2 linked regions of the Drosophila melanogaster genome follow. The protein of the gene in region 1 interacts with the protein of each later gene in a pairwise test. Each region holds a gene or a part of one and is shown in the gene's direction. Other genes may lie near its edges. The genes, in order: Mal-B2 and CG17109.

Evidence for each region.
Region 2: the proteins of Mal-B2 (region 1) and CG17109 interact in a two-hybrid assay, tested with the Drosophila melanogaster proteins (one large-scale study listed by BioGRID).

Annotation. Positions count from the first base shown.
Region 1 is NT_033779.5:11,848,359-11,853,381, forward strand, and holds Mal-B2 (maltase B2), read left to right. Parts: upstream 1-1,948; 5' UTR 1,949-1,996; coding exon 1,997-3,193; intron 3,194-3,259; coding exon 3,260-3,410; intron 3,411-3,468; coding exon 3,469-3,664; intron 3,665-3,722; coding exon 3,723-3,863; intron 3,864-4,019; coding exon 4,020-4,086; 3' UTR 4,087-4,523; downstream 4,524-5,023. Other genes in the region: Mal-B1 (maltase B1), read left to right, coding at 1-63, 123-469, 541-757.
Region 2 is NT_033777.3:23,092,744-23,098,843, forward strand, and holds CG17109 (uncharacterized protein), read left to right. Parts: upstream 1-2,946; 5' UTR 2,947-2,989; coding exon 2,990-3,080; intron 3,081-3,139; coding exon 3,140-3,628; intron 3,629-3,688; coding exon 3,689-4,106; intron 4,107-4,165; coding exon 4,166-4,370; 3' UTR 4,371-4,497; downstream 4,498-6,100. Other genes in the region: CG6726 (uncharacterized protein), read left to right, coding at 1-275, 339-543; CG17110 (uncharacterized protein), read left to right, coding at 936-1,032, 1,087-1,578, 1,637-2,051, 2,107-2,311; CG6733 (uncharacterized protein), read left to right, coding at 5,016-5,106, 5,164-5,655, 5,715-6,100.

The DNA of each region.
Region 1 (5,023 bases):
AAATCTGTGGACGCCATGAATATGCTGCTGATGACATTGCCAGGAATTGGTATTACTTATAATGTGGGTACAGAACACTCATTATTAAAGGATAATTTTATACAGACTTTCCATTACTTTAGGGCGAGGAGTTGGGCATGACTGACTACAGGGACATCAGCTGGAGCGATACGGTGGATCAGCCCGCTTGTGAGGCTGGAATCGACAACTACAAGACGATTTCTAGAGATCCTGAGCGAACTCCCATGCAATGGAGTAGTGATGTGAATGCAGGATTCTCCTCCGCCGATCGCACTTGGTTGCCTGTCAATCCGAATTATAAGGAACTTAATCTTCGGAATCAGCAGCAGGCGAGGCGAAGTCATTACAAGATCTATCAGTCCCTTCTGAAGCTCAGACAACTGCCAGTTCTGAAGAACGGATCCTTTGTTCCAGAAGTGGTTAATCGCAGGGTCTTCGCTTTCAAGCGGTAAGTAGGGAATGGATATTGGCGTTGTATTGACATTTTAATGTATTTTGACCTTTATTCTATATTATCAGAGAACTGAAGAACGAGCACACTCTGCTGACCATTGTGAACGTGAGCAACCGCACTGAACTGGTTGACATCGCGGACTTTATAGAACAGCCCAATCGATTGAGTGTCCTTGTGGCGGGAGTGGACTCGCAACACCGGGTGGGGGATCGACTTAAGGCCGAGACAATTGAATTGGCGCCCAACGAGGGATTAGTTATTCAGCTGAATAAGCGAAAGTAAGCGGCGAACTACTTGGAATTCCACATTAAAGTACGAGGAAACTTTCCATTTGCCAACCAGCCGTGCTTTTCTATTTTCGTATTTAAATGTATCTCACAGGGGCCATCTAATCGAGTTTCCATTTCATTTGACAGCGGAACACATTTCCATTTACATTAGCGCATTGCAAACATTTTAATTGAATTGAGAGCACTTGGTGTCGGACCTTCTACTTCTCACTTTGGGGCACTTTCCCTGTACTGTTTGGCCTCGACTTTAATTCCAAGTCGTAATTCATAATTGTCGTCAGGTTTTTTGGCCCTTTTCGGGGGCTCAGGCCGCTTGACAAATGGTTGCCGAATTTAATTAAATTCCCACTTAGCGGTGGTTGACGACCTTAAAATTTGCTTTGATTTTAATTCTCACTGCAATTGTATGCTATAAACTAGTTGATTGGTAGGTGTTCTCAAAGCAAAGGCATTATTCAAAATTTATGACAATGTTCTGATGTTATCTCGTATTTGGTTCGTTTTTGCGTTGTTTCTGTGATTACACTTGACAATGTGAAATTTTAATTTCTCATCAATTCACTATTTTACAGTACAGTGAAAGAAAATTTGCATACTACATACCACAATACAGGCAAAGAAGAAACAAAGTTTAAATAAATAATTGCCTACTCTCTAAGGCTTCAATGGAATTAATTTATAAACAAAAAATATATTTTATTTAAAACTTATATATATTAATAAAATTACTTAAAACTCTCGAGATTTTTATTTGCCACCTGAAAGTTCTGTACATTGTGATCTTCTCCAATCGTCTGTGGATCCAAAGCTCTCGAACAGCTGTTGGCATCCAATTCCCCAAAAGCTTTGAGTTGATCGCCGCCGGCAGATGCTAAAAACGCATCGAGAATTATAATTGTGTTCAGTTTATTTTAATTTCCTTGAGGTGAGCATAGTGATTTTGGTCGGCGAAGTGTCTATAAAAAGCACCTAGTTTTCCACCGATTGGCTTGGCAAGTGCAGAATGCCGTAAAATTGGGAAAAACAATTTTGTTTACTCATTTAATTTGCACCGCAATTTGTTTTGATTGGTGCTGATAAAAATCTGACAACAAATTATAGCTTTAATACGACTGCTGATAATTAGACAAAGACTAATGCAAAAATTATTTTAATTATATGGTAGAATCGCTTTAAAAGTGCCTGTCGCACTGCCAACTCTCGAGCACATTAAATAGAATACCTCGCCGCAATGCGCGCTCCACTCATCCAAATCCTTCTTTTTAGTCTACTAAACTCCGGCTCCATTATGGCCGGTCTGGTTAAGAGCGATACGGAGGACTTTATCGACTGGTGGCCGCACACGGTGTTCTATCAGATCTACCCGAGGTCATTCAAGGACAGCAATGGCGATGGTATCGGCGATTTGAAAGGAATCACCTCCAAGCTGCGCTATCTGGCGGACACTGGCATCACGGCCACCTGGTTGAGTCCCATTTTTCAGTCGCCCATGATTGACTTTGGCTATGATATATCGGATTACAAGGCAATCCAGCCGGAGTATGGCACCATGCAGGATTTCGAGGAGCTGATCGACACGGCTTTCGAGCTGGGCATCAAGGTTGTTCTGGACTTTGTGCCGAATCACAGCTCGGATCAGCATGAGTGGTTCAAGAAGTCTGCGGCAAGGGAGCCGGGTTACGAGGATTTCTATGTGTGGCACGATGGCATCGTCCAGGAGAATGGCACTCGGGTGCCACCCAACAACTGGCCATCGGTGTTCTACGGATCCGCTTGGGAGTGGCACGAAGGTCGTGAGCAGTATTACCTGCACCAGTTCACCAAGGAGCAGCCGGACTTGAACTATCGCAATCCCAAAGTGGTTCAGGCCATGGATGATGTGTTGCTTTTCTGGCTCAACAAGGGCGTAGCTGGTTTCCGCATCGATGCAGTGAATCATTTGTTTGAGGACGAATCTCTTAAAGATGAGCCATTGAGTGGCAAAACAACGGATTCACTTTCCTATGACTACACTAAGCACATCTACTCGAGAGATCTGCCAGAAGTCTTGGAAATGATTCATCACTGGAGGCAACTGCTGGATGACTTTAGTGCCAAGCACCCCGAAAGACCAACACGCATCATGATGACGGAGGCGTACGCAGGACTAACCCAGCTGGCGGACTACTACGAGGATTCCAACGGGGTTCGGGGCTCCCATCTGCCCTTCAACTTTCACTTTATCACGGATGTCAAAGGCGACTCGGATGCGCGTGACTATGTCTACAACGTGGAGAAGTGGCTGATCTACATGCCACGCGGGCACGCGGCCAACTGGGTCATGGGCAACCACGACAACCCCCGAGTCGCTTCTCGATTCGGTCCAGCCAGTGTGGACGCCATGAACATGCTACTGCTCACCCTTCCCGGTGTCGCCGTCACTTATAATGTGAGATTTTGTTGCTGACTTGGTTGGTTGCTTGTGGTCCTTTGGCTTTACCCCTACACTTTTCAGGGCGAGGAGCTGGGCATGGTGGACTACCGCGAACTGAGCTGGGAGGAAACGGTGGATCCACCGGCCAGAAATGTTGGAGAGAAGCTATACCAGGAGGTCTCCCGTGACCCAGTCCGAACACCGTTCCAGTGGAATAACGAGACCAATGCTGGTAAGCCATTGATATTATTATTATAATTTAAATATGTCTCATTAACTTTTTCGCACAGGTTTTTCCACTGCCGCCAAAACCTGGCTGCCTGTCCACCCGAACTACCTCGAGCTCAACCTTGAGGCCCAGAAGGTGGCCAACAGGAGCCATTACCAGGTCTACAAGGATCTGCTTGAGCTGCGAAAATCGGCCATTATGCGTGTGGGCCGATTTAATATTGAACCCCTTACTCGTTGGGTGTTTGCCTTTAAGCGGTAGATGAACGAAATTTGCCCTTAAGAGACATTGATTAATTGGAAAACCGTTTTGCAGGTCCTATCCCAATTTTGAGTCGATAATTACCGTGATAAATGTGAGCGACAAGGAGCAGTTGGTGGATCTCTCAGAGTTTCTTAGCCAGCCTAAGAAACTAGTGGTTGAAGTTTCCGGCGTGGATTCCAAATATCAACCTGGGTAAGTTTGTTCCTTTGAATTGTGGTCACTCATTTCCCGCTTTGCACCGTAAAAAACAATCGTAAAAAGCTAAATAATATTCGAAGAACATCAATGTAGAGTTCCCTTAAATCTCAATGTCCCTTTTACCATTTTCTTTCTGTATTCCCGCTGCAGTCAATCCCTCGCCGCAAGTGCATTGCTCCTGGCCGCCCGTGAGGGTCTCGTCTGTCGGCTGGTCTAGCCGGGAATGGGATTAGAGGAATTACCAGCTGATGGCGGCAAACTTTGCTCTTTAATTGCATTTCCAGTTCAAAATGTCACGCGATTGAATACATAATGGGGGGAAAATTAATGACCCTCGAGCTGGTACATTTTTTCGTTTGACTCGATTGAATTGAACGCTGTCCAGTGGTAATGAAGGCAAAGGGGGCAGTGTGGTCCGGATCCTGTCCGGAAAAAAGTGGCCACAACGTCGCCTGTTCCTGGCAACTTGCCCAGAACACTTGGCCGCTGTTGATGTTGGTGTTTCATTCTTGCCCGGTCACTGTAATTTTTCATGTATGGAGGAAGAACACACACAGGAACCAAGAAAGATTTATGGAACTGGTGCAGAATCCTCCCACCCATGCGGAAATGTCGCAAGGACGGCACAAAATATAATACCACATGCAAAAGTTTTTAAATGTCCTTTAATAACTGAATTTAATATTTGTGAGTGGCAACTATGGCAAACTTGTTGGAAACTTTTGATTGCTCGATGCTTGTACAAATATTTTGCCAGCAAATGGAAGTTGTTTGGATTAGAAGTTAATAGTTGCGAATGGCCGGAAAATTACAAAAATGTTGTTAACTTCCATGCAATTTCATTAATTTTCCGTTAGCTCGAAAATGAGAAAACTACTACTATTTAAATAGCACAGCGATTAAGTTTCTTTCTTAAACCTTTAATCCCAGTTATTTTCAGTAAAACTTAAAATCATTAAGCGATATGTATCCATTCAGTTCGACAAACGATATAATTAAGAATTGCTCGGCTCTTAACCGATTCACACGAAATTTAAAAATTTCATTACCCATACGCCACGTTGAACCGGATCTCTCATCGGATTAAAAGTATATATATTTTGCTGTCTATATGCCCCGCTGCGTTTCATTTCGTTCTGCTCTTAACCCAGTCT
Region 2 (6,100 bases), on another chromosome or scaffold:
CTCGAAATTGGTGATGTGACCACTGTGAATCTCACCCAACTGAGGGGCGGAGTCCAGAGCAACGTGGTTCCCCCATTGCTGGAAGCTGTATTTGATATCCGCATTGCCGTCACCGTGGATATCCCTGCCTTTGAGAAGCAGATTCGCGACTGGTGCGAGGAGGCTGGCGGCGGCATTGAACTGGAGTTTGAGATGAAAAACCCCTTTGTGGAGCCAACAAAGATTGACTCGTCGAATGCCTACTGGCTGGCCTTTAAGAAAGCACTCGATGACCTGTAAGGATGAGAAGCTCTGACAAAAGGCATGGCTCTGATATCCTTTCTCCTTGTTTCTTTCAGTGGCCTCAAGACACGGGTTCGTGTTTTCCCCGGCGCCACGGACAGTCGTTATATTCGCTACGCAGGCATTCCAGCTCTAGGATTCTCGCCCATTAACAACACCCCCATCCTGCTGCACGACCACGATGAATTCCTGAAAGCCGATACCTATTTGCACGGCATTGAGGTTTACAAGAAGCTCATTCCTGCCGTAGCTGATGCTTAGCGAACTCAATTCAATTATGAAATAATGCATTTAATGCTTACTTGTCGATGTTTATTGTAATAACTTTAAACAAGCAGGCTTATAAAAACCCATTTAAATAAACAATGTATGAATAAATAAGCCAGTCCATAGTCCATACCATTAATGGTGAGCAAAAAAAGGAAATTTAAATGAAAATGAATAAGTTTATGGTTTACTATTATGGCTTTGCTAGATAACATTAAGCTCTTAGCGCAAAGATGAAAATCCGCAAATTGTGGGCTCTTCTAATCAAGTAGCTTAAAGTCAACAACTGATAATGCCATTAAGTCAATCCACACTCAGACTTCAAACCAAACAGCACGGTGGATTACAAGTCAGTTCCTTTAGAACCACGGGGCATTCAACTCAAAATGTGCACTTGCACGGAACAATGGAAGAACGACGAGGAAATAATCATTTTCCAGGAGTATTTGCGCATTCCCTCGGTGCATCCAGACGTGGACTACAGTAAGGATTTGTTTTTCCGCTCCTTGGATTTTGTTATCCCTATTTCCCTTGCAGCTGCATGCGTGGAGTTCCTAAAACGCCAGGCTAACAAACTTAATCTCCGCGTGGACGTGGTGTATCCTGTTGTGCCTTCGAAACCGGTGGTGATTATGAAGTGGCTGGGCAAGCATCCCGAGCTGAAATCCATTATATTGAACTCACACATGGACGTGGTGCCCGTGTTTCCCGAAAAGTGGACCCATGAGCCGTTTGGTGCCCACATAGACGCCCAAGGCCGGATTTATGCACGCGGTGCCCAGGACATGAAGTCCGTGGGATGTCAGTACATGGCTGCGGTCCGTGCACTCAAAGCCAGTGGCTATCAGCCAAAAAGGACCGTATATTTGACTTTTGTGCCCGACGAGGAAACTGGCGGACACATGGGCATGGCTGAATTCGTCAAGGGTGATTACTTCAAAGCCATGAATGTGGGCTTTAGCCTGGACGAGGGCATCGCCAGTGAAGATGACACTTATCCTGTATTTTACGCCGAGCGTACATTGTGGCGTAAGTCTTCCATTTGCATCAGTAGCAATATATTCTGATTCATTTTATACCCCTGCAGAACTTCGATTTAAATTCAGTGGCACTTCAGGTCATGGATCGCTGCTGCACAAAAGCACGGCTGGCGAAAAGTTTCACTTTGTGATGGATAAGCTGATGAAGTTCCGAGAAACCCAGGTCAAGCTACTGGCCGAGGACTCCTCCTTGCAGTCCGGTGATGTGACCACTTTGAACCTGACCCAACTCAACGGTGGCGTCCAAAGCAATGTGGTTCCCCCCGTACTAGAAGCCACTTTTGATATTCGCATAGCCATCAACCAGAATGCCGATGCAATGGAGAATCAGATTCGCGAGTGGTGCAACGAAGTCGGTGGTGGAGTGGAACTGGATTTCACGCTGAAGTGCCCCTCGGTGGTGACCAAGATAGACGACTCCAATCCCTACTGGCTGGGCTTCAAAAAGGGACTAGATGAACTGTAGGTAAACAAAGATTGTGTAGTTTTCACTTCATAATTTGTTGAAATTTTCCAGAGGTTTGATCACCCATACACGAGTTTTCCCCGGCGCCACCGATAGCTTCTACGTCCGGCAAGTGGGAATTCCCGCTCTGGGATTTTCACCCATCAACAACACCCCGGTGCTGCTGCACAATCATGATGAATATTTGCGGGCCGACACATATCTGCACGGAATTCAGGTGTACAGGAAGCTCATCCCCTCTATTGCTGATTCATAAAATGTTCAAGCGAAGTTCCACTCATAAATGGAAATCAATATGCTACAATTGGTCTTATCGCTTATGAGTAATGTTTTTGGCTCGATGAGTGTAGGACCAAAATTAAATGTTTAAATGGTGTGACTACTACAAATCATATCTGTTTCTAAACAAATGAAAATCACACACTGATAACACGAGTTTCAGAAGAGAGTTTTTGTCATGGACTTTGCCCTCATTCAATATCCAATAAATCGTCACAACTATTGATATCGTTCTCAAAAACTAACGTAACCTTCACGTAAAGGGGTTGTATTTTATATATACATCATAATTATCAATAATTACATTAATATGTATTCTATTTTCTTATCAAACCAAATACAAATTATAATAACCCATTTTTTCGCAGACCATAAACGACGGTGGTTGAGTTTTATTGGTGTTATGTGAACTTTATCGAATTGGCTACCGTTTGCTATTAGACATTTGTTTTGGTAGAATTTTGTACAAGAATATGTGCTGTTATCATTTCTATAACAACCGAGTTTGATAACGAACTCATTATTTGATAATAATACGAAGCCAAGGCCATAAAACCAAAATCACCCAACACACAAAAATTTCTGTATAAGTTCATTTTTTGCCAACTGCGGCACATTCGAGTTTGGTGACTGGCAGCGAAAACATATCCACAAAATGAGCACCGAAAAGTGGGAGGACAACGAGGAAATCAAAATATTCCGCGAATATTTGCGCATAGCTACGGTGCAGCCAAATGTGGATTACAGTAAGGATTCCCCAAGGAATTCACAGAAGAGCACTACTCATGTACATCTTAACTTCTAGCCGAATGTGTGGAGTTCCTGAAAAGGCAGGCTCACAGCCTGGATCTTCCCGTGGATGTTATATATCCAGTGGAGAAGAAGCCTGTGGTGATCATCAAGTGGTTGGGCACCGAACCGGAGCTGCCCTCCGTCATTCTCAACTCGCACATGGATGTGGTGCCGGTGTTCCGTGACAAGTGGACCCACGATCCCTTCGCTGCCGATATCGATGAGGAGGGCAGGATCTTTGCGCGCGGTACTCAGGACATGAAGTCGGTGGGCACAGGATATCTGGGTGCCATCCGCCTGCTTAAGGCAAGTGGTGTCCAGCCCAAGCGCAATTTCTTCGTGACCTTTGTGCCCGATGAGGAGATCGGCGGCGAGCTGGGCATGCAGGAGTTCGTCAAAACGGAATACTACAGCAACATGAATGTTGGTTTCAGTCTGGACGAGGGCGGCACCAGTGAAATAGATCTGTTCTATGTCTTTTATGCCGAACGTATGCGATGGGGTGAGTAATCCTTGAGACACATCTAGGACTAGAATCTAAACTATATCCCCTCTTTGGCAGGTCTCAAGCTGAATTTCAGTGGAACCTCTGGACACGGCTCCATGTTGCTGCCCAGCACTGCCGGCGTGAAACTGAACTATGTGCTCAACAAGCTGACGGAGTTCCGCGAATCGCAGGTTCAGAGGCTGGCCAATGATCAGACAATCAACATCGGTGATGTGACAACTATCAATCTCACCCAGCTGAGCGGTGGAGTCCAGAGCAATGTGGTGCCTCCTCATTTCGAGGCTGTCTTCGACATGCGTCTGTCCATCACCCTGGATGTGGTTGCCTTTGAGAAACAGATCCACGATTGGTGCGAGGAGGCAGGTGGCGGCATCGAGATCTCCTTCGACGAGAAGGAACCCTACGTGGCACCCACAAAGATCGACGACTCCAATCCATTCTGGCTGGCTTTCAAGGCTGCCACCGATGAACTGTAAGTCTGAATCGAATGCTCAACAATGCGTGTTCCTAATACGATTTGTATGTTTATAGTGGCCTTAAGATCTACCCCATTGTCTGCCCCGGTGCCACCGACAGCAGGAACATTCGAGCTCAGGGCATTCCAGCCTTGGGATTCTCACCCATCAAAAATACCACCATGCGCATCCATGATCACGATGAGTTCTTGGGCGCCGAAACTTATTTGAAGGGCATTCAAATATACAAGAAAATTTTGGGCAACCTAGCGAATGTCTAAAAACTAAATCGAAATAATACATGAAAACCTTATCAAAATAAAGATTGATGATTTTGTTATAAGTTAGTACAAAACTTCCTGGCCTTTTATCTTATCTCAACGAATACCTTAATCAACTTAAGATCTGAAGAATACAACTTGCTATCCTTGCGACAGCAAGTAGATAATGGATGTATCTACATTTTGCTGTATCATCATAGATAGCAAGTTGGAAGACTGGGAAGCCCATTAAATCCAAAATAATCACTTGATTTTTTCAAATCGAAGGTCATCAATCAAAGCTTCGTCATTTTAATTGAATTTGTCATAATTTTACGATATGATGGAAAATATTGAAAAATACATGACAACTTACCAAGAACTTGAGGTTTCAAAGGTTGAGGTTGCATAGATAATACGCAATGAACTCATTTCTGTGTAAGTTGCATAGATAATACATAATGAACTATTTGCCGCTTAGAAAAGTTACTTATTCGGATAATAGACGTGTGGGTTTTGCAGATAAGGGCGTTACTATCGCAACCACATACACTTTTGATAAGCATTTAAATTCCTTGACCATAAACATGAAAGCAATCAGTGTGATTATAAAAGCACAGACAATCTTTGTTGCAGCTCAGTTGCTGATGACAGAAGAGTGTCGAAATGAGCTCGGAAAAGTGGGAAAACAATGAGGAAATTAAGATTTTCCGGGAATACTTGCGTATACCAACGGTGCATCCAGATGTTGACTATAGTGAGGACTTAATTTTAATTCTTTAAAGTTTGCGTTATAATGTCTTTCAATGTCTAGCTGCCTGTGTGGAGTTCCTGAAACGTCAGGCTAGCTCCCTAAATCTTCCTGTTGAAGTGGTTTATCCTGCTGTTCAAACGAAGCCCGTTGTGATCATCAAGTGGGAAGGAAGTCAACCCGAACTATCGTCCATTGTTCTCAACTCTCACACGGATGTGGTGCCAGTTTTTCGAGAGAAGTGGACCCATGAACCCTTCTCCGCCGATATTGATGAAGAGGGTAGGATCTTTGCACGGGGTACTCAGGACATGAAATCGGTGGGCACTCAGTATCTAGGAGCGATTCGCCTGCTGAAAGCTAGTGGCTTCAAACCAAAAAGGAATTTGTATGTGACCTTTGTTCCCGACGAAGAGACTGGTGGTCATCTGGGCATGGCGGAGTTTGTTAAGACGGATTACTACAAGAAAATGAACGCGGGATTCAGCCTGGACGAAGGCGCCACTAGTGAAAGTGACGTTCATCATTTGTTCTACGCCGAACGTTTGCGATGGGGTAAGTTCCATAAGGATGATGATGATGGATTGGGGACATTACCGTTTCGCTTTATGCAGGACTCAAGCTGAAAGTCAGTGGAACTTCTGGTCATGGTTCCCTTTTGCTACCCAATACGGCAGGAGTAAAACTGAACTATCTGGTCAACAAACTGACTGAATTCCGCACCTCGCAAGTGGAGAACCTTGCGAGAGATTCCAGCCTCAGCAAGGGCGATGTGACCACCGTGAATCTCACCCAGTTAAGTGGCGGAGTCCAGAGCAATGTGGTTCCGCCACTTTTCGAGGCGGTCTTCGACATACGGATTGCCATTACTGTGAATGTGGTTGCCTTTGAGAAACAGATTCGCGATTGGTGCGAGGAGGCGGGTGGTGGCATTGAAATTGATTTCTTCCAGAAGGAGCCTTATATAGGACCCACCAAGCTGGACAATTCCAATCCCTAC